4 linked regions of the Caenorhabditis elegans genome follow. The protein of the gene in region 3 purifies or fractionates together with the protein of the main gene of each other region. This does not show direct contact. Each region holds a gene or a part of one and is shown on either strand. Other genes may lie near its edges.

What was found.
Region 1: the proteins of asp-3 (region 3) and gst-7 fractionate together in Caenorhabditis elegans (co-fractionation; one large-scale study listed by BioGRID). This does not show direct contact.
Region 2: the proteins of asp-3 (region 3) and D1022.4 fractionate together in Caenorhabditis elegans (co-fractionation; one large-scale study listed by BioGRID). This does not show direct contact.
Region 4: the proteins of asp-3 (region 3) and gst-26 fractionate together in Caenorhabditis elegans (co-fractionation; one large-scale study listed by BioGRID). This does not show direct contact.

What each region holds. Positions count from the first base shown.
Region 1 is NC_003280.10:4,878,647-4,886,584, forward strand, and holds gst-7 (putative glutathione S-transferase 7), read left to right. Parts: upstream 1-3,445; 5' UTR 3,446-3,472; coding exon 3,473-3,605; intron 3,606-4,157; coding exon 4,158-4,645; 3' UTR 4,646-4,712; downstream 4,713-7,938. Other genes in the region: gst-6 (putative glutathione S-transferase 6), read left to right, coding at 1,270-1,402, 1,852-2,339; gst-8 (putative glutathione S-transferase 8), read left to right, coding at 5,108-5,240, 5,417-5,904; R05F9.7 (Serpentine Receptor, class E (Epsilon)), read left to right, coding at 7,630-7,938.
Region 2 is NC_003280.10:7,453,090-7,460,630, reverse strand, and holds D1022.4 (Dienelactone hydrolase domain-containing protein), read left to right. Parts: upstream 1-3,338; 5' UTR 3,339-3,344; coding exon 3,345-3,421; intron 3,422-3,466; coding exon 3,467-3,563; intron 3,564-3,666; coding exon 3,667-4,224; 3' UTR 4,225-4,317; downstream 4,318-7,541. Other genes in the region: sro-1 (G-protein coupled receptors family 1 profile domain-containing protein), read left to right, coding at 354-521; D1022.2 (TIL domain-containing protein), read right to left, coding at 605-770, 875-1,095; D1022.5 (Dienelactone hydrolase domain-containing protein), read left to right, coding at 1,825-1,901, 2,263-2,819, 2,867-2,964; D1022.3 (Dienelactone hydrolase domain-containing protein), read left to right, coding at 4,422-4,495, 4,674-5,236, 5,288-5,388.
Region 3 is NC_003284.9:6,787,474-6,795,429, reverse strand, and holds asp-3 (Aspartic protease 3), read right to left. Parts: upstream 4,367-7,956; 5' UTR 4,240-4,366; coding exon 4,181-4,239; intron 4,101-4,180; coding exon 3,824-4,100; intron 3,773-3,823; coding exon 3,668-3,772; intron 3,615-3,667; coding exon 2,859-3,614; 3' UTR 2,721-2,858; downstream 1-2,720. Other genes in the region: sgca-1 (Dystroglycan-type cadherin-like domain-containing protein), read left to right, coding at 5,903-6,053, 6,099-6,197, 6,282-6,389, 6,446-6,538, 6,589-6,712, 6,756-6,918, 6,976-7,065, 7,475-7,653 and 1 more. UniProt on the Caenorhabditis elegans protein: Aspartic protease. Part of the necrosis cell death pathway. Involved in neuronal cell degeneration. Involved in heat stress response.
Region 4 is NC_003280.10:15,160,892-15,168,047, reverse strand, and holds gst-26 (glutathione transferase), read left to right. Parts: upstream 1-3,494; 5' UTR 3,495-3,504; coding exon 3,505-3,643; intron 3,644-3,692; coding exon 3,693-4,183; 3' UTR 4,184-4,231; downstream 4,232-7,156. Other genes in the region: gst-28 (glutathione transferase), read left to right, coding at 656-794, 1,287-1,777; gst-27 (glutathione transferase), read left to right, coding at 2,379-2,517, 2,618-3,108; ptr-20 (SSD domain-containing protein), read right to left, coding at 4,576-4,884, 5,551-5,786, 5,863-6,181, 6,627-6,899.

The sequences.
Region 1 (7,938 bases), on a different chromosome or scaffold from region 3:
TGCAGAGTTGCACAGAGAATTTTTAGGTCGTTTCAGAGAAGAAATCACTTAAAATGAACATGAAATTCGTAAATAGCGTGTTCTCAGCTTTCTAAAAATATTTTTTTCGACCCAAAAATCGCAATTTCATTTTTCCGCTCATTTTTCGAAAAGCAAAAGTCCCATTTCTTATTTTGGAGCGGAGGACGATTTTGGAGATGAGCCCACATTTTTGAAAGATTTTCTAGGACATTGTAGAAACCTCAAAAAAATGATCATTTTTCAAAATTTCAAGTCGATACGTTGGATATGAAGATTTTTATGACGGAGATTGGATTTTTTCAGAAAACGGTCTATAACTTGGCGGAACATGAAAATATCGAAAAACTTAAAACGGATAAAATGTGGAGAAATATTTTTCACTTACTACTTAACAAAATTTATCTTTTGAAATTCAATGAATATTGAGTTATAAAGGGTACAACAAAAGAGTTCTCAAATTTTTCTTTGAATTTTGGAAAAATGGCTTTGACTCTGTGTAACTCTACAAAAAGTTGTTGATATACAAATTAATGTAATAGAAAGAACAAATGTTTCTGATCATTTTGTTAGTTAAAAATTGTTTTTCAGACTTGTATTTTTCGAGATACGCCAGTTTGAAGATGCTCAGTTTAGCGATTTTAGGAAGTTATTTGGTCCGTTGAGTGTGATGTATACCAAGATTGGAACTTTGAAAATATGAAAGTATAGGAAAAGAAATGCAACTCTAAGGCACTTCAGGTGTGAGCGGCAAATGTTTTTTTACGGCAAAAAAACGGGAAACCGGCAATAACGGTAAACCGGCATTTTGCCGGAAATCAGAAATTACCAAAATTTCAGAATTTCAATTTTAATCGGCGAAATTGTACGCATCCTATAAATGTTCCTAAATCTATTTTAATAAGTAAGCAATTATGTGTTTTTTTCTTAATTTCAGGTCTTTCCAAAAAAGAAATTATCAAGAATTGACATGATATCAAGAAGTAACAGACTGTATATTCCCCATAAAGCTTTAAAATTAATTATCCTCTCAAAGCCTTTTTGATTTCTGAAATCACGGTTGATCATACTATAGTCAATCTTGAAAGTGATCCGAAAAACGCTGTGCTCTCAAGTTTTGGTTTTGTCATCAAATATCTTCAGTCATATATTGAAAAGTAAATAATGATAGTAGAGCACACAAAAAATGATAAGAATAACCCAGTATTTGATGATAATTCACATTCATTTTGTAGGAAAAAATTTCACGAAATGGTTCACTACAAGCTCGTCTACTTCCCATTAAGAGCCCGTGCTGAAATTGCTCGACAAATCTTTGCCTATGCAGGACAGGATTATTCCGAGGAGAATCTGAGCTTTGAACAATGGCCAGCACGCAAAAATAGTGAGTTTATACACTTTTGGCAAAGATAAATGGTTTCAAAACTTGAAAACTACGTTTCATACATTTCGGTATTTGTTTATTTTTTAAATTGTAGATAATTGCAAACAAAAGTTCTCTAACTTTTCACATCCGAACTAGAACAGTATTCCATGATTCAATACTTTAAAAAAATCACTTTGCAAATTGGGATTATGCTTCTGATTGTTTTTTTTATTTCCTGATTTAGGGTGATCAGTCAGAAGTTCAGAAAAAAGGTTGTAGGTACGAGGAAAACTTGATGCTTGAAACTTTTTATGGAATTGTGCTTTCTGACAACATCTTGGACACTGTGGAAAAGTCGCTCCTGGAGATCGAACTAATCCGAAAAATTTTCTAAGACCTTCATACTTTTTTAAAATTAAGATTAGATTTTATTTTAAAACACTTCTCCTCAAATTTCAAATTTCTAGACACTCCATTCGGTCAATTGCCAATTTTGGAAGTCGATGGAAAACCATTGGGACAGTCATATGCAATTGCTCGGTACTTGGCCAGAGAGTTCGGAATTGCTGGACAAAATGACACCGAGGCGGCAGAAGTGGATGCAATTGCTGATCAATTCAAGGATTATCTCAACGATGTCTCCCCATATTTAACAGTTCTTGCTGGATTCAAACCTGGAGACAAGGATCAACTGAGAACTGATGTTTTTGTTCCAGCTTTCAAAAAGAATTTCGAGTTTTTCGAGAACATTCTGGCATCTAATCACAGTGGTTTCTTTGTTGGAAACTCTTTGACATGGGTGGATCTTTTGATTTCGCAGCACGTTCAAGATATTTTGGATAAAGATTTGGCAGTTGTTGAGGAGTTCAAGAAGGTTTTGGCACATCGTAAGAAGGTTCAGAGCATCGACAGAATTCAGAAGTATATTGCAAACCGTCCAGATTACCCATTCTAAATTGAAATGAGTTTGCAATTTTGTATTATTTTTTAATTCATATTTCAAGAAGCAATTTTTTGCTAATTTGTTTTAATGGAAATCGATGTTTCTAAAATATCTTGAATGAATTGTTCTTTTAAAAATTTTATGGTAAAGTTTTCAGCAGGATGTTTCTATAGAAGCTTTTTGCATTGCAAGAGTGTTGAAATATACAGGATATTTACAAAAGCCTGGGAAGTAGGCATGCTTTTAGGTACAAATCAGACCTACACCGCCTTCCTTTGTGGTTTACCATCATAGCTAAAACTTTCCGAACATTCCCTGGTGAGACACAATGTTCAAAGCACAAAACCAATCACGTCATAATGTTAATTTGACTTTTATTGTCAAAAATTACAAAAGCGTCGTTTTCTGGAACATGAACATAATAAGAATTTTCAAATTTCGGTGGGCACAATAAATATGTAATCTTTTATTTATTTTTGGAGGATAGTCTTTTCAAAGGCAGGTGTATAACCCTCAAAAGAAAGCACGTTTGTGTTTCAAAGTGAGACTTAAATTATTTCAAAGACAAATTCCATAGGAAATCATTGTTCATCAGGCACCTTCCCAGAAATTAGGCTGTAGGCAGGCACGTAGGCTGCGGTAAATGCCTACGCCTCTTTTGCGCGAGATTATGAAATTGTGTTGTACTGTCGGAAAAATTTCAGAAACAAAAAAAAATATTTTTTGTGACTTTTTGTGTCAGTTATAGTAGTTTCTTATCATGGTATCTTCAATAATAATGGCAAGCGTAACAAGATGATTGATGCCATGGGTTTATATTTGTGAGTAGTCACAAATTGTGACACAACATTCCCTTCGAAAGATCTGGAAAAGTCACAAAACCTTGCATATATTTTTTTCAACCAATATTATTTTGACCTACTCTGTTCATCGTAACATTGCAACAACAAAAAACGATGACTACACTTTATGATTTCTAGTCAACAACGTGCGCGCAATGTGTAGAGCAAATGATGACAAACTACAGAATATGGTGAGTGGAGAGACGACAGACATTTGAGAAATGGGTATAAATAGAGACGGCCGGCATTCAGTGTTCAACCCTTCTCATCGACCACTCGATTTCTTGCTTGGTTATTTCAACAATGGTCCACTACAAGGTATCGTACTTCCCAATTCGTGGAGCTGGAGAGATTGCTCGTCAGATCTTGGCCTACGCTGGACAAGACTTCGAGGACAACAGAATCCCAAAGGAGGAATGGCCAGCTGTCAAGCCAAGTGAGTTTGGGATTGAAAATTATTGTTTGAATAGGTGCATAGATATTGAAATTGTTAGTTGAAATCTTATAAGTAGTTCCAAATTAAAAATTCATTTTAGAAATAGTTGCAGGCTTTTAGTTAAGCTGTCTTTGGTTTTATCAAAAAAATTTTGACTGACAAAATACGTGAAGAATATACTTTTAAATATTGTCAGTTAAACATTTTTTGATAAAAGTTAAGAGAACCGAGATGTAAGCCGTTAAAGTAGCAGGTACGGTATATTCCTTACCTTTCCTGTTCCTATTAACTAGGTCACACAAATTGCCTTTTTGCCTTTAGAGTAGATTGAAGTTGTTATTGAGTTACTTTTTGAAAGTTATTGAAATTTCGGTGTTCGAATGAATAGACCTTGAAAAAGGAAAAAAAAATTCAAGGCTAAACTCTAGGCAGTTTGACACCTAGAGATGTAAACAAAGTGCTTGGTATGACTGAGAGATAGAAGTTTGGAGTCAATGATTGTTTACTCAAAGAAAACTTTGAACTTTAGGTTTTAATTATATTATTTTTCAGGCACTCCATTCGGACAGCTTCCACTCCTTGAAGTTGACGGAAAGGTTCTTGCCCAATCTCATGCTATCGCCCGTTACTTGGCTCGTCAGTTCGGAATCAATGGAAAGTGTGCATGGGAGGAGGCTCAAGTCAACTCGGTTGCTGATCAATTCAAGGATTACCTCAACGAAGTTCGTCCATACTTCATGGTGAAGATGGGATTTGCTGAAGGAGATCTCGATGCTCTTGCCAAGGACGTCTTCCTTCCAGGATTCAAGAAGCACTATGGATTCTTTGCTAACTTCCTCAAGTCGGCTGGATCCGGATACTTGGTTGGAGACTCTTTGACCTTTGTCGACTTGCTCGTCGCTCAGCACACTGCTGATCTTCTGGCTGCCAACGCAGCTCTTCTCGATGAATTCCCACAATTCAAGGCTCATCAGGAAAAGGTTCACTCGAATGCCAACATCAAGAAGTGGTTGGAGACTCGTCCAGTTACTCCATTCTAAATGATTTCCAAATTCACATGGTCTCTTTATGTATTTTTGTATTGATATGGGATAAATGATTGCATTGAAATCTATTTATTCTGAAAAGTTCTCTAAAAAATAAGATAGCAGAAGCAACCGATATATTTGTTCAGACATCCGAATCATCATGAAAAGGCACTTTTTGAACTGAGTTGTCAGTAACATCTGCGCAGTGGGAAGAGTAAATGATGACAAACTTTAAAGTTTCCAATATACTCTTTATTTTAATGTACATTTATCTAATTCAACCAGTTCATTGAAACAGACATAACGCCAAACTATATTTGTGGTTTGTTGTCAGCAGAGTGCGATCAAAGCAGTGATGACTTAACAGTACACACACACTTAGAGAATATGAGTATAAATAGAAACTTCTTGGTTTTTATTTCAAACTGTATCACAGACTTGTACTCCCCAATTACTTGAAAAGTGGTAGTAATAATGGTCCACTACAAGCTATCATATTTCCCCATCCGTGGAGCTGGAGAGGTTATTCGACAGATATTTGTATATGCTGGACAAAGCTTTGAGGATCATAGAATTTCAATAGAGGAATGGGCAGCTGTCAAACCAAGTGAGTTTAAGCTATTTAACAATAAGTTCAATTCAATTGATCAGATGTTTTTTTAGTTGTCATTGGCTTCATCAAAAAAACATATAAAAGAGACGAGAAACATAGTTTTTCCTCAAACATTCTATTTGTAATTTTTGAAGTTTCTGAAGTTCAAGCAGCTTAACAATGACTTTCAGCCACCCCATTCGGGCAACTTCCACTTCTAGAGGTCGATGGAAAGGTTCTTCCACAATCTCATTCTATCGCTCGCTTTTTGGCTCGTCAATTCGGAATCAATGGAAAGTGTGCATGGGAGGAGGCTCAAGTCAACTCGATCGCTGATCAGTTCAAAGATTATCGCAACGAAGTTCGTCCATATGTGATGGTGAAGATGGGATTTGCTGAAGGAGATCTTGATGCTCTTTCCAAGGATGTCTTTCTTCCAGGATTCAAGAAGCACTACGGATTCATTTATAATTTCCTTAAAACTGCAGGATCCGGTTACTTGGTTGGAGACTCGCTGACGTTTGTGGATTTGCTCATTGCTCAGCACACTGCGGATATATTGAGTACTGATCCAGCTCTTCTCGAAGAATTCCCACAATTTAAGGCGCATCAGGAGAAGGTTCATTCAAATGCCAATATCAAGAAGTGGTTGGAAACTCGTCCAGAGACTCAATTCTAAATAATCGTTCAATTCTAGTTTTGAAATTGAATAAACTACAATGAAAATATAATTCATAGACAAAAATTGATTGAATTTTAGTTGAGTAATCATTTGGTTTTTTGGAAAACTGAGTAATGTAAAATTGCGGCAGAAGGGAGAATTAAATTTAGATATGACAAGACTCAAGCGTGGGAAATGATTATTAACTTTCGATCAAACCTTTTTGTAGTTATGTCAATGATCGTTCAGAATTGTTTTTGAACTGTTTACCTTATCTCTGTCGATTTATTCTGAAAAGGGATCAATTCTGTTTTGCACACTAAAGTGAAAAAGTTTTTCGTTGTCAATTAGTACGTTCCTGAAAGGCTTTCAAAAATGAAAAGCTAGCAAATTTCTAATTTTTGCACAAGTTGAACAAAATGTGTTCTGTTCAATAGTCGGTACACATTCCTCGAAAATTATTCTAGGAAAAAATACCAATTTTGCAGCTGCTTTATATAATCAATTAAATTAATATCACATTTTTTGAAACATATTCCGACACATCGAGCCCAAGTTTCACTTGCAAATCAAAATTTGTTCGTTGAGCTGTGAAAGGACATACTCCATGGCAGGGACAATTGATTGAATTAACCGAACAAAAAATAAGTAACATGACAAATTGTGGGGTTAGCCTAGTACGTGTATTTCTCGCGACTCTGAAATAATTGCCGATTTGCTTTTGAGATCACAAAGTTTTACGTTTTTCTTTCTAGTGTAGTTGTTCATTTTCACCTGTTTTGAGTGGGAATGATAAATAAATGACAGACCTGGTTTTAGAGAATCACGTTTTAAAACTGTCCCTTTAAAATTATTAAAGTTGTTACCACTTTCATTTGAAATCTTTGAGTCACTTTCGTTTGGTGGCACAATTTACAGTGTTAACGGATTTTTTTCCGTTTACCTATTTTTGGTAAGTTTCAGCATTTGAGCTATGTTTCGCATTGCGTTCAGTGGTATTTTATATAAGTTAAACTAACAGTACACTTGGTGACTCTAATTATGAAAGTCGTGATCGTTGGAGATTCTTCTCCATCGTATTCGCGACAAGCTACATTTTTAAGAAATTTCCCTCATTGATGATACTCCTTCTGTAATGCAATGAATAAACCCGTATCAAAATGTAATGAATATTTTATGTCTGTTTTTTAAGGTTTTAAACAAAATGGTATTCCTTCAAAATTTTCAACGTACACTGTTTGAATATAACTATATAGAGAAAACCTATTAGCCTAGAGCTGTCTTTTCCGTTTCTTTTGGTAACCCCATTTTTCTGAAGTTAACTATTCAAATATTTAAAAGTATCTGTGCAACACTTAGTAAAAAAATACTAGGGCATCTTGAATTTTAACGAATAAAAAAGGTTTTCAAAGTTAAAAAATTACTGATATTCTAATGAATACATTTTGATTTTATATGTTCTATTTGTATTGACCAACACTGCAACTAATGTGCTAACACTTCCTGTTCTCTGAGTTTTTTTTTCATAACTCACGCCTCCATGTCACCGCTGTTTTGGCGAACATTCTTTAAAATTCGATTACAAGTGATCATTCGTTTCTATAGATATTCACATCAAACTTTATAATCTAAAAGCGTTTTCTGAACCCGATCAATTACTCCACCTGCATATATAATTTCATGCTTACTCTTACTACTCCTTATTTTTAGAAAACATTTTCCTTATTTTGAGTTAAAGATAAAATGCACATTATCCAGGAATTTCTTGCCAAAATTCTCTCACTACTTGCTGAGCCAATTCCATTGGTGGAGGGCCAATGGCTCAATATCACATTTGATGTGCCAATTTTAGTGGATATAAATGCTCCATTGACGCCAACACTACAGTTTATTTATGCATCTGAAAGTATTTTGATTTGTGTTGGAATGTTTCTAATGGTTTATTTCAATTATTTTGTGAAAAGTTTCCAAATTGTACATTTGAATTTACAATATCTATTTTTGCTCTTCACGACTTTATATATTTTTGGAAGTCTGGCCAGATTCTACATG
Region 2 (7,541 bases), on a different chromosome or scaffold from region 3:
CGTTTACTCTTTTTTATTGCAGGCCCGTCTCGTTTAATTTCAGGATTTCAACAAAAAAAATTGCCTATTTTGCTACAGTTTTTCACAAAATTTCTACGAGATTGAAGTTTTTGAACTTATATGTTACAATTAAAATCAAATTTTCTGAATTTTTACATAAAGATTCGAGCTTTTTCAGAAAAAAACTAGTAAGCTCAAAGTCAGAAAAATGTTCTGAAAATTAGTATTGCACTCCCTAATAGTCTTGCACTCCCTATTAGTATTGCAAGCGGGAAGACCATCGAAAAATAGTATTGCAGCCATATTAATAAAATAAATACGGTACTTTAACTCAAAAAAAAAAATTATTCCAGATCGCCGATGTCCCTGGAATGTCTTTCCCTATCCTGACACCAACAATTCCCCGCCGACAACTTCCAAAAATCCCGCCTCATCTGGCATCACCGTCGAGACCAAGTCTCAATGATTTTCTGGAGGAAGATACCGATTACGAACCAAAAGAGCATACACCAATGCTTTAAATTACTGGAAATACACATAAATGTACGGGTTAACATTGTTTGTCGTAATTTATTAAAACTGTTTCAATAAAAAACATGTATTTTTATGGTTGAGCCTTCTTGATTGGTACATTTTCGGCGCTGTCCTCTACATATTCAACACCATTTTCCTGTTGTTGTTTATTATCTTCATCGTAGTATTTGTCAATAAGAGTTGCATCTTTACCAAGACAAGGACGGTTGTTGCATTGATATTTAATGGGATTTTTCCTTTAAAACTTGAGTAAGGATCTTCGAAGAGAAAAATGTAGTTACATATACATTATTAGAAACACACCATACAAAACTTATTTTTAAAAACTATATATACTTACGGGCATGCACAATTGTCGGTCTTCTCCACGCATGCGTACTTCATAAGTTGCCAACCTCCACCACATGTTACTGGACATTCAGTCACTGGAACAATGTCACATTCAACTTGAAGTTGTGGAGAAGCTTGAGCTATGGTTGCAGCCACAAATGAAATAAGAAGAGAAAATACCAGAAGCATGTTTCTTTCGAATGACATATGACGAGGGGTTTCAATGGCCATAATGATTTTATGGATTTGCTTGGTTGTCTTTGAAACAAAACTTTCGGGAAAAATAACGATGAGTCTCCTCTTTTGTACACATTTTTAATTCTCACAGATTATTGACGATACCAAGTCGTTTTTGATGAGATTCTCAGATTTCGAGAAGGAAGATGTTTTTGAAAACTGTACAGTATGGCTTAAGAGAACCTCATTGAAACACTCATAAAAGATCTGAATAAAAGCCAGACGCATAGTTTTCTAACAAATTTTTAAAAAAATTCAAAGCTGGTTTTTTTTTCAAATAAATATAAAATTAAAATGAATATCTTTACAAAAATAGACTGGAAAATCTCTAATAAATGCAAATCCATTTGTGCCAACAATTTCTCCAAACAATAACATGATTTCTGTGGTTTCATTATGCAGAGCGTGTAGAGACAACTACCTCAGAACTGTCAGAACTGTCAGAGTAACATTTACATGTCAGGGACAATGCTAATTTCATATCTAATTTTGTGACTATATCGTTATAAATTGTTATTCCAGTATTTAAGATTTGTGATGCGACCGTCTCGTACGACAGTTTTTGGATGTATGGTGAAGTTGGTCACAAAATAATGTGTCCTTATTTTGTGCTCATCGGAGAGATTTGGAGAGCCTAGAGAAACACAAAATTCAGGAAATTTCTTATAAAAGTAGTTGAAACAACAAAAGTGAAAGTTGTTTTATTGGTGTCGCGAAGGCAAGATGTCTGTTACTCATAGTCAACTTCAATACACAGATTCCAATGGAAAAGTGTACGAAGGAGATCTTTATGTTCCAAGGTTTGTATAAATTTAAAGTTTATGTGAATTTTGCCGGAAGATTGAATTTTAGCATGAATAATAAAAGTGTGTGCGGATTAGATTGTTTTTCCTTCCACCAGTCGGATAGGTTTGCATTTGTTGACTTTCTGTTGTGTGGTGTTTTTTTGTGACAAACGATTGCCTCAACTTTATTGAAATTAGGGATTTTAAACAAATTAAAAATTTGAATCTATGTTGTAAATTTTCGATAAATGTTATGCAATATTAAATTTACTTAGCATACGAAATCTGATTGATGATTAGAATGGTAACATTTGACATCAACATAGTATCAGACTGGTTTAACTAATTATCAAACCAAACTTGTTATTTATTCCAGAACAACTAGAATGAGAAAACTTCCCGGTGTCCTTGTGTTCCCTGCATTCCGCGGAATCACCGAATTTGAAAAAGAAAAAGCGAAGGCTCTTGCTCAGGAGGGCTACATCGCATTGGCAGCTGATCCATTTGGAAAGGGAATTCATCCAAAAGACAAAGCAGAATGTTTTGCAATTGTACGCCCAATGATAATTGAGAGGAGTAAACTATTAAAGTGTGTAATAGTCGCGGCATTTGATGCCATAAAGGCTGTTCAGTGTGTAGATGTTAATAAAATTGGAGCACTTGGATTTTGTTTTGGAGGCCTATGTGCGCTTGATCTAGCCAGGTACAATGTTGGACTGAAAGCAGCCATTTCATTTCATGGCACACTGACTCCAATACCTGATGCTCCACTTGATAAGATTATTGAAACAGCTGTCCAGGTTCATCATGGAGATTCGGATGCTCATATTCCAAAAGAACAAGTCGATGGATTCCACGTGGAGATGAGAACTCGAAATGCGGATTTTGTGTTTTCCAGTCATGCACATGCTGAACATGGATTCACAGAGCCAGGTAGAAATAGTTTACGAATAACTTTACGATATATTTTTATTTTTCAGATGCTGATTCTTTCGGACTTCCCGGAGTTAAATATAACAAAAAAGCTGCGGATCGATCATGGGCATCTGCTTTGGCTTTATTTAAAGAAATATTTTAAATCTCATATTATATGCATTATTTAAATTTATATAAATTTTCATGAAAGAGAAAGAAAAATATTTGTTATTTTTAATCAGATTCAGATAACTTCAAAATTTTGGCTCAGTTTTTATGGCTTTGAACACAGTTTAAAGTCTTAATAGAGATGTAGTTTATATTGATCATTTTTGTGACAACTTTTTGGTTTGTGAACTTTCCCGAAACTATGTTTGCTACGCACTAATGAAACGTAGAGACCCAGAGAGAAAAAAACGAAAGGTCATAAATATAGCAGTTATAATGGTAATAGAGACGATACGCAGACAACGTCAAACCCCAAAAGGTATACATATATATTGACCGTCTTAGATAACTCTTGTTAGTTTTCTTCTTTTCGAGATGACCGTTACCACGAAACTTATTGATTATTCTGATGAGGAAGGTAATAACTTTGAAGGAGTTCTTTATATTCCAAAGTTTGTTTTTTATTTTTTATTTTCATTTTTTATTTATTTTTGTAGGAATGTAAAACAGTCAAAAGTTCCCGCCGTACTGATTTTCCCAGCTTTCCGAGGAATTACGCATTTCGAAAAGGACAAAGGCCAACAAATTGCCGAGGTTACTTTAAAGTCTATATTTAGTAGGTTTTACAAAATCAGGAAAACTATAACAGCTGCATTCTCAGGAATATGCTGATTTAAAAAAAAAGACCAAATTTTAGCTTGGATTCGTTGCTTTTGTTGCTGATGTCTATGGAAAAGGTGTGAGACCAACTGAACGAGCAGATGCATTTGCAACAATGGGACCGCTTGTTTCCAATCGCGTTGAGAAACTGAAACCAAGACTTTTTGCCGCTGTCAATACTTTGAAGACTTTCTCTGAAGTGGACACCTCAAAAATTGCAGCAATCGGATATTGTTTCGGTGGGCTTTGTGTTCTCGATTTGGCAAGATACAATGCTGGACTCAAAGGAGTTGTATCCTATCATGGAACTTTGAAACCAATTCCTGATATTGCTCTAGATCCAATTGTTGGAACAACTGTGTATGTTCATCACGGAGACGCAGACTTCCATATTGCAAAAGATCAAGTTGATGGATTTCATGAAGAAATGAGAACTCGTCAAGCTGATTTTGTCTTTGTATCGCATGCAAATGCAGTTCATGCTTTCACTGAGCCAGAAGCTGACAGTTTCAATGCACCAGGAATTGGTTACAATGAGAAGGCTGCAAAAAGATCATGGAATGCAACTCTCGACTTGTTCAAAGAAATCTTCTAATGTTGTACTGTACACTACGATCACAAAATTTTGTGACTTTTCTATCTCTCCGTCGTAACAAACCTGTTTGAAATAAATATGATAAGTAAATGTATAAAAGTATTTATTATGATCATTTTGTCATTTTTTGCAGAACTTTTTCTGATTCTATAAATTTTAAAGTTCAGATTTCATAGCTTTTTTCCGAATTGAAAGCTATGTCGATTCATCAAACTATTGATTATGAAGATGCGGATGGCAATTTATTTTCAGGAGAGCTGTATAAACCAAGGTTATTATTTGATTGTTTACTTGTTAAATGAAACCGTTGAACACTATGTATATCTAAAATAGATCTAAATTGATTTCAACAAATAAGAGTTTTCAAGTTATATCCGATGTCTGTGATAATTGATAATTGATATTTTAAGATTTTTGAAAAGTTTGAAACTATAATTCAATGTTTTCAGCTCCGATAACTCTACTAAACATCCCGGCGTTTTGATTTTCCCTGCATTCCGAGGAGTGTCCAAACTGGAAATTGCAAGGGCAAAATTATTGGCTGAAGAACATGGATATGTAGCTCTTGTTGCTGATATTTATGGAAAAGGAATTAGATGCACAGACATCTCATCGGCAGTGACACTGCTCCGTCCTATGACTAGCGATAGAAATGGAAAGTTGAAACCAAGATTAGAAGCTGCTTTAAATGCCTTGAAATCTGTTCCATGTGTAGATAAACAGAAGCTCGGTGCATTTGGATTCTGTATTGGAGGACTGTGTTCCCTGGATTGTGCTCGTTATAGATTTGATGGAATTCGAGCTGTTATAAGTTTTCATGGAACTCTGACCCCTATCGAAGGAATTCCTTTAGAACAATTAGATGATATTTTTATTCAAGTTCACCATGGAGATGCTGACGCACATGTTTCAAAAGTCACCGTTGACGCATTCCACGAAGAAATGAGAGCAAGAAATTCCGACTTTGTTTTTATTTCTCATGGGAAAGCAATGCATTCGTTCACTGATCCTGGTTGGTTTCCGTGAGCTCATTCAGGGAAATGTCAAAAGTTCAAATTTTCAGAGTCTGCTGAAATTGCCCCATCTGGAGTCGGTTACGATGCGAATGCTGACAAAAGATCTTGGAAGGCTACACTAGAGTTTTTGAAAGAAGCTTTTGCATGAACTACACATTCCAATAACTTCTCAAAATAAAATGTTACTTCATCTGTTAAAAATAGGCTGACAAAATTAGAAGATATGAGGATTAACGGAGCGTACTGAAATCGTAGACACTCTTGATTTCGTACTGCCAGAGCCTCCTCGTACTTTTCTCGAAATAAATTTCAAAATGGATTGACGATATGGTAGTATACAGTAACAAGATATAAATGGATCACATAATGCAGGAAACCCGGAGCACAACATTTGAAAATGCTCTACCAGAACAATTTCTTTTCCAGTAAACTGGGAATACAAGTACAATGAAACAATTGGTGCATATGACAAAAATGGAATTCGAGCTAAAATTAAAAAAAAAGGTATTTCACAAGTAACTGTGGTAAAAAGGACTCCTTCCGACCGAAACGTCATAAAGATTGGAGATAACGAAAACAACTATGTATCGACTAGGCTGGTTGGTTGATACTTGGTACATCATCAAACTTGGCACATATTCAATCTCGCCATCTCTGTTGCTATTTAATGCTGTTTACAACTCTGTGAATACGGGATAGTAGTGGCGATAGGTACACCTGTTGTAGTCCATCGCCACCCCTAGTCCTAATAGCACCTAGACATCTGTCAACTGGTTTGAGCAAAACAAATTGCACAAAAAATACAGGGCGATGCCGACTCCTTGGAAAATTAGGTAGAAAAGACGGTGATGTGTCTATGTTTTTCCATAGTATTACCTGCTAGAGGCCACTCTCTTTAAAGGCAGATGATATCTCCCCAGAACGGTGGCTCTGCCACTCTGACGATTAAATATACTGAAAATAAAGATAAAGTCCAAAAATTAAATGTTAATAATATAGGAACTACCAGAATACCGGCCATGTCTGACAAACAAAATACGTTTTTTTTTTCAAATCTTATAAATTTTTCGAACGTTTTTAAAGGTTAAAAGTTGTTTGAAATTCCTGAAAACTCCCCTCAGTTTCTGCAATAATTTAAAAGTAGTTCAACACTTTATAAGTTTTTTGGCGGCTTTTGATAGTTTTGAAGACATTCTAAAAAATGGTAAAAGTTGTATACACAGAATATTTTGAATATCAAAAATAGTATCAAATAAGTTCAAAGCGTCATCAAACAATTGTTTTTTTTTTCAAAATAGATATAATGTGATTTTTTTATTTCTAGTGGCTTGCACAATTCTGAAAACTTCCTTCAGTTTCTGAAATAATTAAAAAAGTTTCAAATCCCCAAACTGTATTACAACATTTTTTGTTAAGATTTCTGTTGATTTCCGATAGTTTTGGAAACATTCTGAAAACTCGTAGTTGCTTATCCAATGTAGAACTTTCCAAATTCTCAAGCTATCACAACAGAAATTTAAAAAAACACGGGCTGTAAAAGAATACATGTGTTCAAGACTGACGAAACTTTAGAACCTGATTAGCTACAGGAGTTTAAAATATATTTTTTGAAAGTAAAATTAAAAAGGTTTTTGATATTTTTTCAACAAATGTTTTTTCTTTGAGATATAACATTTTTCATATTATAACTACTGTTTGAACTGAAAAATGCTTCAATTTTTGCAAATTCTCAGTAACAGTCATAGATTTTGAATGGGTTTGATATGGGGAACATACCAATTAACTGATTTCAAAAAGTTTCATCAAAATTCAAACTCAATTTTTCCAATTTTTTTCGAAACTCTATTTGAAATATTTTGCTAAAAATTTGTTTGCCCGACTTTGTTCAAATGTGCCAAATTAATTTATTTAACATAATTACTCACAGAGCCTGTGCTTAAAGCATTTTAAGTTATTCGAAGAACTAAATAGAAATCAATGAAATTCAGTGCTAACTCAAAAAATCTTGGTAAAATGAAAAGTTTCAAAATAAAACTATATTGCACTAAACTTTAATTGCACTAAACAATATTTTTTACTGTTTTCTTTCAGGAAATTAGCTAAAAATATACTTTACTGTGCTCGTTTTCGAGATTACAGCCAGGTACCCATTTTTTTTTAACAGCCCGTGCGGTCGTCTCCCCCTTCTTCCCTTCTTCCCACAGGTCCACAACACCTCCTGCCGGCAGCCCTCTATAGGAGACGATCTCACTCCTGTCTGTGTCTCCGCCTCTACCACGCTCTCTCTTTCTTTGCTCAGGC
Region 3 (7,956 bases):
TGGCTCAAAATGTGTTTATGTTTCAAAAACAACAAATCGCTGATGAAATTTTAAATTATGAGTTTCGGTTCAACTTTACGTATTTTCTCTATCCAATTGTTTTATTTTGAAAGGTTCTACCTATTAATTTTGAATTACAAACACTAGAAAACAAAAACCTTTTGTTTATTCTGTTAACAGTTTTTGAGTAGAATAATTGACAATTGACAAGTTTGAAAATTGGGATGAAATGCTAATAGAGGGAAAACGGTAGTAGATTGAATTGAACAAAATTAAATGAACAATTGAACCATGAAACAACTGAATTTTATCATGGAAACTCTTTTGAAAATCTGGCGCCAATAACTGACAGTATTGGGAAAAATGCAATTCAAGAACGCATAGTTTTAATTACAGTTCTCGATATTACAGACAGCCGTGACAGGTTTTGAATTAAACAAAGGAAGAGAACAACACTGATACCACATAATACTAATACTAAATTCTTGATTGTTATGTTGGTGTATGTGTGGAGGGGAAAAAAAGAAAAAAGAAAAGCAGCCGCTTCGTAAAATTGTAGGTGCTTTTTTCTTATTTCAGCATTGCTGCTGTAACTTTTCCGCCTTGCAATTCCAACTCAACAAATTGTACGAGCGCGTTATGAGAGTAAGTTATGTCCGGGAAAAAAAAGAGCGACAGAAAAAGGAAAAGTGTCGTTGAGGAATGGGCTAGTGGGGTTGAGGGAACTGTGATGTGCTGAATAATGTGATGGGAATTGGGAAAAAGAGTGTATTTAGGACGACGAAAAAGCGAGCAAGAAGAGTGGCGACGGGACAGATCGAATAAGAAGCGGTAATTGAAATGAGTCTCCATATGATAGATGACAGAAGGATGCAGGAAAAGAGGCCATCGGATGCGCACGCAAATCACCTGCTCCTCTTCATCCTCCTACATTCCCATTTCTGATCGCACATACTAAGCGTTTTGCCCCTTTTTGGCGAAACCGCCTATGATAATTTCCAAAAGATTTATGAAGCTCTCTTGATGATGCCAGTCCGCCGATGACCAACTAAGCATGTGATCGAAGATAGAGAACTGGAAGTCCACATCAAAAACCAAAAAAGAATTATGAACTGTTTTTTATTCTATCACATCGCGACCAGCAAAGAGATCAGAGTAAGATGAAAGACGATTGATTGATTAATTTTATTATCAGCCACCTATTCATGCATCATATCGCTCAAAATCACAATTTTCACTAAAAGAATAACCTTCCCAGGTGAAGCGTTTTCGAACAATAGGTTTAGATGGTGTATGCATTTTACCCCACCCAATGTGGGAAAATATTTTCAAGGTCTTGTTTCACAGTGAATGGAGAGGTGGTCAGTGGAAATGTGATATCAAACAATAAATAAAATGATGGAATACTATATTGGCTATGAGAAAGTACCAGCGGGTAAATGAAATCTGGAATATTTCAGAAAAATAAATAAAAATGAGAAACACACTTTTTTTTAGTTATGGGTTGCCTATTTATTGGTATCCAAAGTTTTTCAAAGTTAGAATATCGTCAGTGGGGCTGAATACAATTTTTTAAAACTATTTGGAAAAAACGCGAAATGTTGTTTTTTAAAATAAGTTTTTTGCCCAAAAAAGGAAAAAAAATCAAAAATTAGGAAACTAATCTTTTTGTACATTTGAACCGTTTTATGAAAAATTCAATAATTTTGATCAGAATAACATTCTTGTTATAATTCAGATTATATTTTATGGCAAAAATGTAATTTATAAGTTTTTCAGTTAACGGCAGGCTAATATCATTTTTATTAGGTCGCCATTTTTTGAAAAAAAAAGGATAATTAAAATTTGAAAAACACGTAAAAAATAAAAGTCTACAGCCCGATTAGGTCTGAATTCTGAATATTATAGTTTAAATTAATATAATACCATGATGATAAACTACAATTTCTTGTAGCTTGTCGACTGACAATATTATAATAAGTTTTTGACAGTAAATAAAACATTTTAAAGTTTTTAGAATAGTTGTACTTTAAAAATTAGCACATTGCAATGCTTTGCATAGCGTTAGAAAAATATCCAGGGAAAGTTCCCTCAATTAAAAAAAATTTCTCAAAACAAATTTTGAATTTAGTCTAAAACAAAAATTCAGACTTTCAAGTAGAGAAAAAACGGAAGAAAGAAGTTTCGTAACTTCTATTTACGCAAAGCATAAATTCACGTATATTTTCCGAGTCACCGGAAACATGCATTGTGTGCGGTCTTCCTTTACAAACACGACATGGTATTGCACAATAATCGCGCGGTTTTTGCGTGCACAAGTGTATATTTCAATAAAATCTAATCGAACATCTCAAATGTCTCTTCTAAGTTGAGGGGAGGAGGATCGGCTAGCAGGAATAGAAGGAATAGAAGGAAGAATGTCAAAAATATAAACAAATTTCTAACAGATTGTTTGTAGCACAAATGTGCCACTATTCTCTTGGAGGATTCTACGGAAAGTGTTCACTAGTGAGATTTAAAACATGTGGAAATGGAGTGTATCAAAGCATTTGAATCATGCTGGAACAAGTGAGAAAAGTACGAAAATTTCTTGCGTCATGAAAAAGTGAGAACCACATGTTTCGCGAAAGCTTTGGATTTTTTGTTTTCTTTGAGTACAGCATAAAATAAAACTCATAAAATTGTGTTTTCCTCCCACCCAATGTAAACTTTGTTATCAAGAAGCCAGTCAGGGTTTTTAGAATTCTTGCAAACGTATAGAAAGAACTGTTTTAGAACTTCTTATCATCACATAACCACATTTATTACAATCAAGCAAGTAATGGCATAGAAATTGAGTTTTTAAATTAGAAATAGGCTTATTTTCCGGTTCTAGAGGTGGCAAATCCAACTCTCTTGTTTCCATGATCGAAGACCGAGTAGAAGCGTCCGATGAAGACGTCTCCGAGAATCCAGAGTGGTCCGGCTGGGGCTGGAATATCCATTCCCATGAATCCAGAGAGGCAGGTGGATCCTCCGTTTCCGTTGGACATTTGAAGGATGTAGTCCTTTCCTTGAAGATCGAAGTTTTGTCCTCCGAGGTTGAAGGTGATGTTTGGAAGAGATGGAATCTTGCTGCACTCAACTTCGTACTCTCCATTGAAGAGTGGGATTCCTCCGATCTTGTGTTGGATCTTCTTGATGACATCAGTTGGTCCAGTGAGAAGGGAAGTTCCAGTGTCAACAATCGAGTCGATTGGTCCGCTGGTGTAGGTGGTTCCATCGATGACAACCGAAGCGAGCTTGATTCTCCAGTAGTCCTCAGAGACGAGTGGCTCCCAAGCGATGTTTCCGACGTAGTGGTTCGGATCGGTGTCGCAAAGGGTAATTTCTCCTCCGTTGGTGATGTCGTTGGCGTCACGGCTAAGCCAGAAAGCGAATAGTTGATTCTTGCAGATGGCGGAGTTGGCGAAGATTTGGTCCATTGGCTGAGAGATCTTGTTAACAGAGATAGTGTCCCATCCCATTCCGAAGATACCGTCAAACTTGGCAGCGACGAAGGTGATTCCTGGCTCAGAAGTAGCACAGGCCAATCCTTGGTTCTTATCAGTACAGTAGGTGGTATCATGTCCGAACTATAAATATATTTTTCAGCTATATTGTAAATAACATCATAAGATTGACTTACGCAGACAACATCGTTGTCAACGGTTCCCTTCATGGATCCAGTTCCGTATTGGATCTCGAAAGAGGCTCCAGTAGCAGTGCAGGAAGAAGACTTCTTGCAATCAAACTGAAAATTATTTTATTGAAAAAAAGTTGATTTGAATACTTCAAAACTAACTCTGTTGTGCATTCTGCAGGCAATATCTCCGAATGGGCAGTTGGCGCATGGCACCCACAAGTTGGAGGATCCAGTATCGAACAAAACTTGGAAGTTTTGTGGTGGAGTTCCAATGGTCACTGGTCCATAGTATTGAGCATTGGAGTAATCAGAAAGACCCTCGTTGAATGCATCCTTGTTTGGAATGTATCCTGGGACGTACTTGGCCTTAAGATGCTCTTGGATTGATCCGAACTTGTATTGTTCACGAGTGTAAGTGCGCTTCTCGAGCTTGATTCTAAAAAAAGAAGAAACATGATAAATAAATAAAATAAAATAATTTAAATATATGAATGGTATATTAAAAATGTAACTAACCTCTGGATGGCAGAAGCCAAGGCGACAAGAGCCAGAAGAAGGAAAACGCGGCCCGACATGGTGCGTTATCACTAATTGAGAAGCAGCGCTCCGGGTTTCTTTTATATGCGACACAAACTCTTGATGATATAATTGTAAACGTCACAACCGATTTTAGTGATAATTAGTAGAGGAGGTTGGCTGGCTGAAAACGGAATTATTTCCTCTCACCGAGTCAAAAGTTTAGATCGGCTATTAAAGTAGTGTACTTTGTGTGTAAAATGAGGGAAAACCATTAAAAAGTGTCCGGGTTGACAAAATGACTTGCTGACAAGGATCCGGATTTTATAGCGTTCTGTTTGCCAAAAGAACACATTAAACTTTTTCCAGCAAAATCATATGTACTTTCAGCAACAAGTCAACACTGCTTTGTCGTCGTCACACCCTCATCGTCATTCTGATCAAAATAACAATTTCAATGGCCTACAATTCAGATTTGTTCTCCCCTATTAAAATATGACTACACTTTAAAATTAGTTCTAGAAAGTTCCACACGTTAAAAATTTAATCGGCTTATTTTCACAAAATATGAAATCATTATCATTATCGTCAAATTGTCTCACAATTTTCGTTACGAAGTAGATAGGGAATACGAAATCAGAATTTGGACATTGGACTAGATGAAATAAATTGAGAACTGTTGCAGTGGTGGAGCAGGTGTGTATACAATTACTAATAATTTTAGAACCTGAAGTAATTTTTATAAATTTGTTTCATTGAACCAAGTATTGAAGTTTTAAGTAGTAAAACATGTGTTACTATAAATTGGCCGAAAGTTTTTTAACAATATTTTTTGTTGGCTTAAAAACACTTATATTAGTCGTGCATGACCAATAATCATAATATAAATATACATACTTCAAAAACTTTTAGATATATATACTTTTAAGTTGAAATTTTGGAAATTATATTGTTTTCCAGCCACTTCCAGAATTATGATAGGTGAAAACTAAGTTTTCTTGAATTTTCGACTGCACAAAAAATTTAAAAAGTCGTTTGAAAAGTTTCACTATAGTCTTAAACCTTTAAACCACAATTTAAATTTCATTTTCACAACGGCCAATACCCAACCTTTGACAAACTCTGAATTCTAGTTTTTTCAACAAAAAAAAGTGTATAAATGACGAAAATGAAAAAACTTTTTGTAGAATGATAAATTATTTCCCAGCCGCTGTGTCAAGGCTAATTAAACAAAATTGAAGTTTTACCTAGCTCTAGTTTTTTTTAATGATTTTAAAAAGTCTAACTTTGAAAAATTTACAATTTTCTTAATATTTACTCTTTCTTTAACAACTTTTTACCTTTTAGATTAAAAATTGTTCACCCCTTTTCTGAATTTCTGAAAGAGAGACTCTCCTGAAACCAAAATTCCAAATAAAGACATTCATATCACGTTTTCTTTCAAGTATCGTTTTTAATGTATATATTCATTATTTTTATCTTAAAAACATTATTGAGACGACATCAATCAACCCCACCACATCAGTTTATCTCATCAAGTTCATCATGCTCTAAAATATCGTCAACAATGATTTCCCCGGCGGGTCTTGTTGGCAGCTTCCCTCAAACCGCCAACCCAGTTGAGCTGTGTAAAAAGCAAAAGTTTGTGCGGACGGCTCAGCGAGCAGCCGTTGTAAAGGATCTCGTTCCACACATCTCTTTCACACAAAATCTTCACTTAAAATGAAAATTCGTTTACTCGATTTTTCGATATTCTCCATTTTGTTGCTATTTCGAACGTCGAAATCATTCAAAGCTCCTACTCACGTGACTGCAACCAAGGGAAAGTTTTTTGTCCACACTCTCCATTCTGCACACTTTTTCCCGAGCACAGGTGCAAACTATTGATCGTTTTTATCAATTGCTCTTTTATTTTCAGTTAAAGTGAAATGGGAAGCTACGCTAAACAAAAAGCCGGCTCTTCCAAACTGGTTACGTCTCTTACCGTCGCGACACCCGGAAATCGCTTATCTAATAGGTGATCGATTAGTTATTAACACACCAGTACATTCATAAAAATAAAATCATCTTATGATTTTTATCGTAGTTATGTATGTTTCAGGCACACCGGTCACAAATGTGCAGCATGTTACACTACACGTGATTGCGAAACGACTGGATAATTTTGATATACAGCAAAGAATGGTGGTGATTAATTTGGTGGAAGACTGTTAGTTTATAGTTTAGAACATTAAAAAAAAGAAACAGTAAACTGTAATTTTGCAGCATTGTATCAAGGAAATACGCAACAAGTTTTTGAACTGCCAATAAATGGACTAGATGTAGAGGATTTAGTTTCAAATCGAGACAGAAAAATAAGTGAGTAATAAAAAACACACTTTTGTCATCATCATCATAATATTGTTCAGGTCAACTAGAAAACTCATTGCGAAACACATTCCGGGGAAGAAATGTAAACCCATATATTGCAGGTGTTCGCTCCAGATACATTATTCCACGTGGCAAGGAGCACATTTTCAAAAATAGTTTCGGGTAAAAAAATGTTTTAATTCAATTCAGTTTTTGAAAAATTCAGAACAATGGTGTATGTTGGTACACAGCAAAAGTTCTATCCCGGAACCATGTCAATTGTACACAATTTACAAACTATGCCCGAGTTTTGTTCAAATCCCTCATCTGTCGTGATGAATAAGTATTTTGCACCAACATTTCCGGTGGACTGGTGTAATGTTGCGGTAGTAAGAACAAAATAATTAAATTTGTCAACATTCTAAAATGTTTAAATATTAATTCAGAGAAATATTTCATCTCTTGAAGGAGAAGGTATTGATGAATTGATAAAGGATGAACAAGAAGAGAAACTGACAAAAGCGAATCCAGATCAGGTAACTTTTAAACAAAACTCTACATGTTTTGAGAAATGCACAGCTTTGAAGCGACCGTAACTTAGTTTTCATTTGATTATTAGTTTATTCAACATTTTACACTGAAGAATAGCTTAACAAACCAATTGAACGGCTCGAATAAAGTAGTAGCGAGATGGAAATGGACGGATTAGCAAAGTTTGACAGTTAAGCATAAAATATGCATTTGGCCTTGAAATTTTACATAGCCACAATAATCGCGTGCGGTTATCGGGGTGAGCTGGCAAATAGCAAACGAAAGTATTGCGGCAAGTAACCATAACCTGAAAGAAGCGGACCGGGCATGTGATTAATGTTTTCTTCAAATTTTAGAATTTAATTTCAGAAATTTTCAAAAAAAAATTTCAGAAAAAATGTCTTTACATTTCAGAATTTGAACGAAAAACCTGAACAACCCCCACGTGAACTATATGGATACTCAGAACATGGTTTTAGCATCGTCTTATTTGCCATAATTCTTGGTGTTTCAATTCTTTTTGTTTTTGCACTCGTGCTCATTTTTTTTGGGTCAAGAGAAGGGCAGAAATGGAGAGACGACAAAACGTCTGGGTATATTTTACATTTTAACTTCAGTTATTGTACATGTTTGTACATAGCTAATTTACAGTGAAACATTGGGCGAATTCATTAGCATTCGTGACAATCAGAAGAAGCTCCGCGAACTATCACTTCAAAGGCAACTTCTGAGCATGGGACCAGACACGAACTCCACTGCGCCTTCTGGAATTCATTCTTATTTACAATCAAGAAGTAGAGCTCCAAGCACTAGTATTGCGAGATTTAGCAAAAGTGCGAGTAGACTTAATGATAAAGGTACTTTGGTTTTTAATATTATCTTTGATTAATTATGTT
Region 4 (7,156 bases), on a different chromosome or scaffold from region 3:
AACCAGAAAATTGCCGGAATTGAAATTTTCGGCAAATCGGCAAATCTGCAAATTGTCGGAATTAAAAACCTCCGGCAAATCGGAAACCGGAAAATTGCGGAAATAAATTTTCCGAGAAACCGGCAAATCTACAAATTGCCGGAATTGAAAACTTCTGGCAAATCGGCAAACCAGAAAATTGCCGGAATTGAAATTTTCGGCAAATCGGCAAATCTGCAAATTGTCGGAATTAAAAACCTCCGGCAAATCGGAAACCGGAAAATTGCGGAATTAAATTTTCCGAAAACCCGGCAAATCTACAAATTGCCGGAATTGAAAACTTCTGGCAAATCGGCAAACCGTCAAATTGGGCTCAGGCTCAGGCTCAGGCTTTTGAAGTCCTAGTTTCAACAAAACCAAAAACCACAACCAAAAACCAAAGTGGCAGGAAACGGCAAAAGATCAATCGTTTCAAATTGTTCAAACACAACCAAGCATCAACTGCCAGCACACGTGAAGGCAGAGACATAGACGGTAAACATATAGTATAAAAAGGGTTGGCAAAGTTGTACAGAAAAATAATTGATGCGATTATTTTGTTGTCCAATTATTTTCGGCGTTCCAGTTTTCCTTTTTTGCGTATAAATACTACTTCATTACAGAAAAGTTGTCAAAAATGCCTACCTACAAGCTCACCTATTTCAATGCTCGTGGATACGCTGAGGCCGCACGTATCCTCTTCCACTTGGCAGATGTTCCATTCGAGGACTTCCGTATGACACACGGAGATGGAACATGGGAGAAGCTTAAAGACGGTTAGTGGAGATTTGGGGCCTACCGATTGCCTGCCTATCTTATTATAGCGCGATATTTTGATAAGAAGTTATGGATGGCATTCAAATTTTAAAAAAAGTTCTGACAATAATGGGAAAGCCAAATTTTCTGAGCACACGGTCTTGGATGGGTTAAATTTTTTTCAAAAAATTGTAGGCATCATTTTTCGTAAAAAAGGCATTCCAAATTAAAACAAAAAATTATTTAAAAAATTTCGCCGGAAAAATCAATTTTTTTTATAAAATAGTTTTAGGGCTATGTATATGTAATTGTTTCGAAACTTTTTTAGCGGGAAATTCACAATAAAAAAAACATTATTTTTCACGATGAAGTTTTGGATGGGATTCGAATTTTAATCTAAAAATTTTTTTCTAGAAACTTTTACAACTTCTGGAGCTTTTTGGAAAATTTCTGAAAATTTTGAAATTTTTAGAATGCTCCAAATACTTACTCACATATATATATTTTTTCAGGCGCCCCATTTGGTCAAGTACCTTACCTGACCGTTGATGGATTTGATATCCCACAATCTGCTGCAATAATCCGCTACCTTGCCAACAAATTCGGATATGCTGGAAAAACCCCAGAAGAGCAGGTTTGGGCAGATGCCATCGTTGATCAGTTCAAGGATTTCATGGGATCATTCCGCGAACGTATCATGGCACATTTCGCTGGAAAATCTCAGGAAGAAATTGCAAAGATCACTTCTGAAGTAGTGATTCCAGCTAGAGATTCGTACTTTAAGATTCTCAATGGGCTTCTTGAAAAGAGCAAGTCAGGATTCCTAGTCGGCGACAGTATCACCTTCGCGGACATTGTCATCTCTGAGAATATTACTACTTTGGAGAAAAATCAATTGTTTGTTGCTTCGGAGCAACCAAACTTGGCTGCTCTTCGAGAGAAGGTCTATGCAATTCCAGCTATCAGGAAGTGGGTAGAGGCTCGTCCAGATACTCAGTACTAAATCGAAAATTTTCTTGAAATTTTGTTCAATGAAGTAATATAATTACAAATTCGAATAAATTTTTAAAATGCACCACTATTTGCATTCTTATTTGCAATTTTCCTCTCAATCGCAGCTGCCTTCTTCCTCTAAAACCCGCACTCAACATCATTCTCAACAACACCGTTTCTGCCAAGTGCACGCGTGGCCTGCTGGATAACGAGTTGGTCTCTCGTTCCGACTGCCACAGGTTCGTGCCCTCTCACCGCCTCTCTACCAAACACTTGCAAGTTCTGTTTATTGCAAGTGCATGGAAGAGGCGAATAGAAAACGGAATGATGTCCACTCCTTCGATTATCGTTCATTGGATTGCGGGCACTTTACCTCGTTCGACATTTTTTATTTTAACTTAAAGTAGAATTTTGGATTTTATTGACTCTCCGTCCGAATTTTTATTGACTCTTCTCCCACCTCCCCCCCCCCCCCCCCATCCATTTCTTGGTTTTTGGTTTATTGATCTCCACGACAGTTTGATAACACTTTGCGGAGGAATTTTTCCCAATCATTTTGCTTGCAGAATCACACAAGAAAACTGTCTGGTTGTGGTTTTCATTTAACTAAAATGCCATCCTACAAGCTGACCTATTTTAACGTGCGTGGATATGGAGAACCAGCTCGTATTCTGTTCCATCTTGCCGATGTTCCATTTGAAGATTTCCGAATGACCATTGGAGATGGAACATGGGAAAATCTCAAAGCCAGTAAGTAATAGCGACCTTGAAACGCCATATTAAAATTTAAAAAAAACTGAAATAAAGTAGCCAAGACAGAAATTGAACATTATTTTTTGTTTCTATTTAGAAACTCCATTTGGACAAGCCCCAGTCTTATCAGTTGATGGATTTGAAATTCCACAATCCGCTGCAATCAACCGCTACCTTGCCAAGCAATTCGGATATGCTGGAAAAACCCCGGAGGAGCAAGCCTGGACTGATGCTATCGTCGATCAATACAAGGATTTTATGGTATCAATCAAAGAAGTGGGAAAAGCAAGCGCTGCTGGAAAGTCTGCCGAGGAGGTCGGGAAGATCATCCAGTCAGATCTCGTTCCGGCAAGAGATGCATTCTTTGTGATAATCAACAAGATCCTTGAGAAGAGCAAGTCCGGATTTTTAGTTGGAGATGGTCTAACCATCGCAGATATTGTGATTGTGGAATGCATCACAACTTTGGACAAACATCAGCTCTTCACTGCATCGGAGCAACCAAAATTGGTCGCGCTTCGAGAGAAGGTATATGCGATTCCAGCAATAAAGAAATGGGTTGAGATTCGTCCAGATACCCTGAACTAGGTTTGTTTTAAATGTGCTGATATATTAATTCAATAAATCGTTATGTTATGTTCATGTAATCTCATTTTATTTTCAAATACGTTAATTCTGAACGTGTTAATTCTATTTTTAACTTTATTTTTCTATCTAGATTGAAGCTAAACTCAGTTCTGTTCAATTTTACAGTTAAAAAAATTTTATGGTCCAGGATACATTTTTTAAAATTGTACAATTGACCTTAAATTGTTATTTTTCTCTGAAATACTTTGTAAAAATTAATCATGGTTTGACTTTTTCTGTCAAATATTTGATAAGACTATGCGGAAAGACTGCATTTTTCCAATGCTATTTCGAAAAATTGTTTGATATCGGAATCACACTATCACACATACCTATATTTAAAACAGACAGATCACTATGCCTTCCTACAAACTCACCTATTTCAACGCTCGTGGCTACGGAGAAGCTGCTCGTATTCTCTTCCATCTTGCCGATGTTCCATTTGAGGATTTCCGTATGACCCATGGAGATGGAACATGGGAAAAGCTGAAAGAAAGTAGGTCATTTATATGTGGCAAACACTAAACTCAAAGTAAGTATTTCAGAAACTCCACTCGGACAAGTCCCGGTCCTATCCGTCGATGGATTTGAAATTCCACAATCTGCTGCAATCATCCGCTATCTTGCCAATAAATTTGGATATGCTGGAAAAACCCCGGAAGAGCAAGCTTGGGCAGATGCCATCGTTGACCAATTCAAGGATTTCATGGGATCCTTCAGAGAAGTCGGAAAAGCACATGCCGCTGGAAAGCCAGCTGAGGAGATTGCAAAGATCATGCAATCAGATGTCGTTCCGGCTAGAGATGCATTCTTCGTAATCATCAATGGGATCCTGGAGAAGAGCAAGTCAGGATTCTTGGTTGGAGATGGGCTCACTTTTGCCGATATTGTAGTTGTGGAGTGCATCACAACTTTGGACAAAAATCAGTTATTCACTCCAGCGGGAGAGCCAAAGTTGGTTGCTCTTCGGGAGAAGGTCTATGCGATTCCAGCTATCAAGAAGTGGGTCGAGATTCGCCCAGATACTCAGTACTAAAGTTTGTTGTAAATTGTTTGATAATTGAATACAATAAATAGTTTTAATATCTCCTTGTAAAAATTCAAATTATTGTGGGAATATAAATTCACTAGTGTAATTTAATTTTCTAAAAATTTCATAGTTCTGTTCGCTACAGTAACAGTGCTGCTTGAGTACCGAAGATAATTCTCAAGTGCTTCGAACCACTCTTTTCATTTATTTCATACTCATATGTAACCTAAAACATAGAGCTGTGTACTGTTTTACTATTGAGTACGAAAATTTTATTTCAAACATGTTATCAAACAATCAATGGAGATGTGAACAACCCGTATTAGATGATAATACAATCAATGGAAAAGAAAATACCCTGGGTTTTCAAAAAAACATACAAACTACAACAAAACGCTCTATGAAGCCAATTCCATCGAATGCGGAGTAGGAGCAACTGCACGTTTCCGTCGGAATAAGAGCTTAATGTCATGCGTTAAAATGAATATTACTGGCAACAGAATGAGAGCATGAAGCATTCCAAGTATACCGACCAGGATCACAGTCTTCCAGAATACTGCTACAACATACGCACGTACAAACATCAATGGGAACATGCCAAGAATCGTGGAGAGCCCGGACTGCATTACTGGCCAGGCGACTCCGCGGAAGGTGCTTAGAAGACGGTCACGAGTCTCGGCGTAGTTATGTGATCTCCAGAGTTGCTCCTAGAAAAATATGAAGTTGGTTTGAAAATGGGGTACGGTTGTTTGGTATGGTGGATGTAGTGTGAAGTATGTAAACATCGTGTGGGGCTGTCCCATTACGGTTTGATCTACAAAAAAAATGCGGGGATATTTCGCCAAGAGAAATGTGTTGAAAATCAGTTGAAATCTCTGCGTCTCAACTCCCGCATTTTTTGTAGATCTACGTATTTCAAACCGAAATGGGACTCTCTGACACCACGTGATGGTACAATAGTTTAAAAATAAGATCATAGATTAGGGTACTGTAGGGTTAATGCATGTTTCAATTTTATAGTATAGTATTTGACTAGAATGCCAGTACAGTAAGGGGTACTGTAGCTCGGGCGTCTTAATAAGTGGCTTAGCTTGATGGGATTACTGTAGAGCTAATTTAAGTCAGCCACACACAACTTTTAGTGTTGTGATTCTTTATGAAACGGAGATTCCTCGTAGAAACGGAATCCCAGGTTACTGTATTTTAGACTACTGTAGATTAAGTTTTTTGAAACTATTTTTTTACAGAACTACAGTGCTCCCACAGTACCACAGAAGAACTCCTACACTACTCCTACAGTGCCCCTACAGTAGTCATACAGTACTACTATAGTACCACTACGATACCCTCACACTAAGCTGAAAAATCCTTACATCCTCATGCACATGAGCAAAGTAGTGATAGCAAACATGAGCCGAATAGTCCACGGAAAATCCAATTGACATTAGCATAGATATCAGTGAAACTGCATCGAGATTCACATTCCATAAATGGAGGTACACAACTATTCCGAGACATATTGATACAATTGACACTGCTACAGAAATAATTGCCTCGAAATTCATGATAAATACCAACACTAGAAGGGACATTAGTACGACGGCGGATACTGAAAAAAACAAATATTTGGAAGTTTTAATATTCTGGTACGGAAAAAAAAACGATAATTTTTAGAGTTTCTTTACCTGACGTGGATATAAAGTTGAATGGGGCTGAAGCTGCACTTTCCGTGGGAACTTTTTCAAATGGATGATGTGAAAATACTTTGAAATAGGTCGAATAATTCTTCAAAATATCCCGACGGTCCTCCAAAAACGACTCGACTTCCAGGAAATTGGTGAAATTGCGATAGGTAATTGTGAAGAAGAATCCATCGATAATTTCATCGCCATTCGTGTCATTTGTCATAGTGACATATTTCTCGTCCATTCCATATTCCCTATAGTTGTTAACCATATCCTCTTTGTGCCAGAAGTCTTCAGTTTCACCCCAGAAGGCGACTGCCTAAAATTGAGAAGAACAAATATTTTTTAGCTTATGAAAAATTGTACAGAATGAGACCCAACACTTTTTTGGAAAACTTGGGAAATCAGATTTCAGAATTTTATAGACAGGCTTTCTGACGAAACTAGATCCAAATAAGATTGCGTAAATTAAAAAATATTAATTCTCGAAATAGAATAAAAAAGAAAAGAAACATCTCATTTTTGCTGAGACTTAGGCTTAGGCTTAGGCTTAGGATTAGGCTTTAGCTTGAGCTTCGGATTAGGCTTAGGCTTATGCTATACATGAAAGTAACCATTTTTCTAGGCACTAGGGTTTTGCCAATTGAAATTGGCAACACCAGGAAAACCTCTCTAGCGAATTTCTCCAACTTTCGAGCACATTTCTCATAGAGAAGCTAGAGCTTCGCTAGAGAAACTTTCAAAATTTCCAAAAGCCCCCTTACATTAGAATATTCTCTTATCCACAAATTCGTGTTCTCCTTGCCTGCTCCATATTTTGGCATTGTCTCCAGGCTCTTTACCATCTCCTCAAACTTCAACCGAATTTGCTCATCATCAAAATCTGGCATCGGATAAACCCCAAAGTTTACGACAAACGCCTCGCCCAACACGAAATTCTGCATGCGACGGGAGATGTCGGTGAGCGGAGAGTCTTCCAGATACAGGTTTTCCATGTCAAAATTTGTGTTGACATGAGAGACGAGGGCAAGGCAGATCTAAAAGTAGATGGAAAGATTGAAATTTTAGATAGAAAATTAATGATTTTGTTTTTTTTTTATTGAGAAGTTCGTTCGAAGATTAACACATCTATTTTGGACAGTTGCACCACGGGAGTGGGCCGGAAACAATTTTTTCCGGCAAATCGGAAAATTGCCGAAATTGAAACTTCCGGCAAGTTGCCAATTTGCCGAGTTTGCACGAAAAACGGAAATTTCCAGAAATTTTCGGCAAATTGTGGTATTGCACTTTTTTG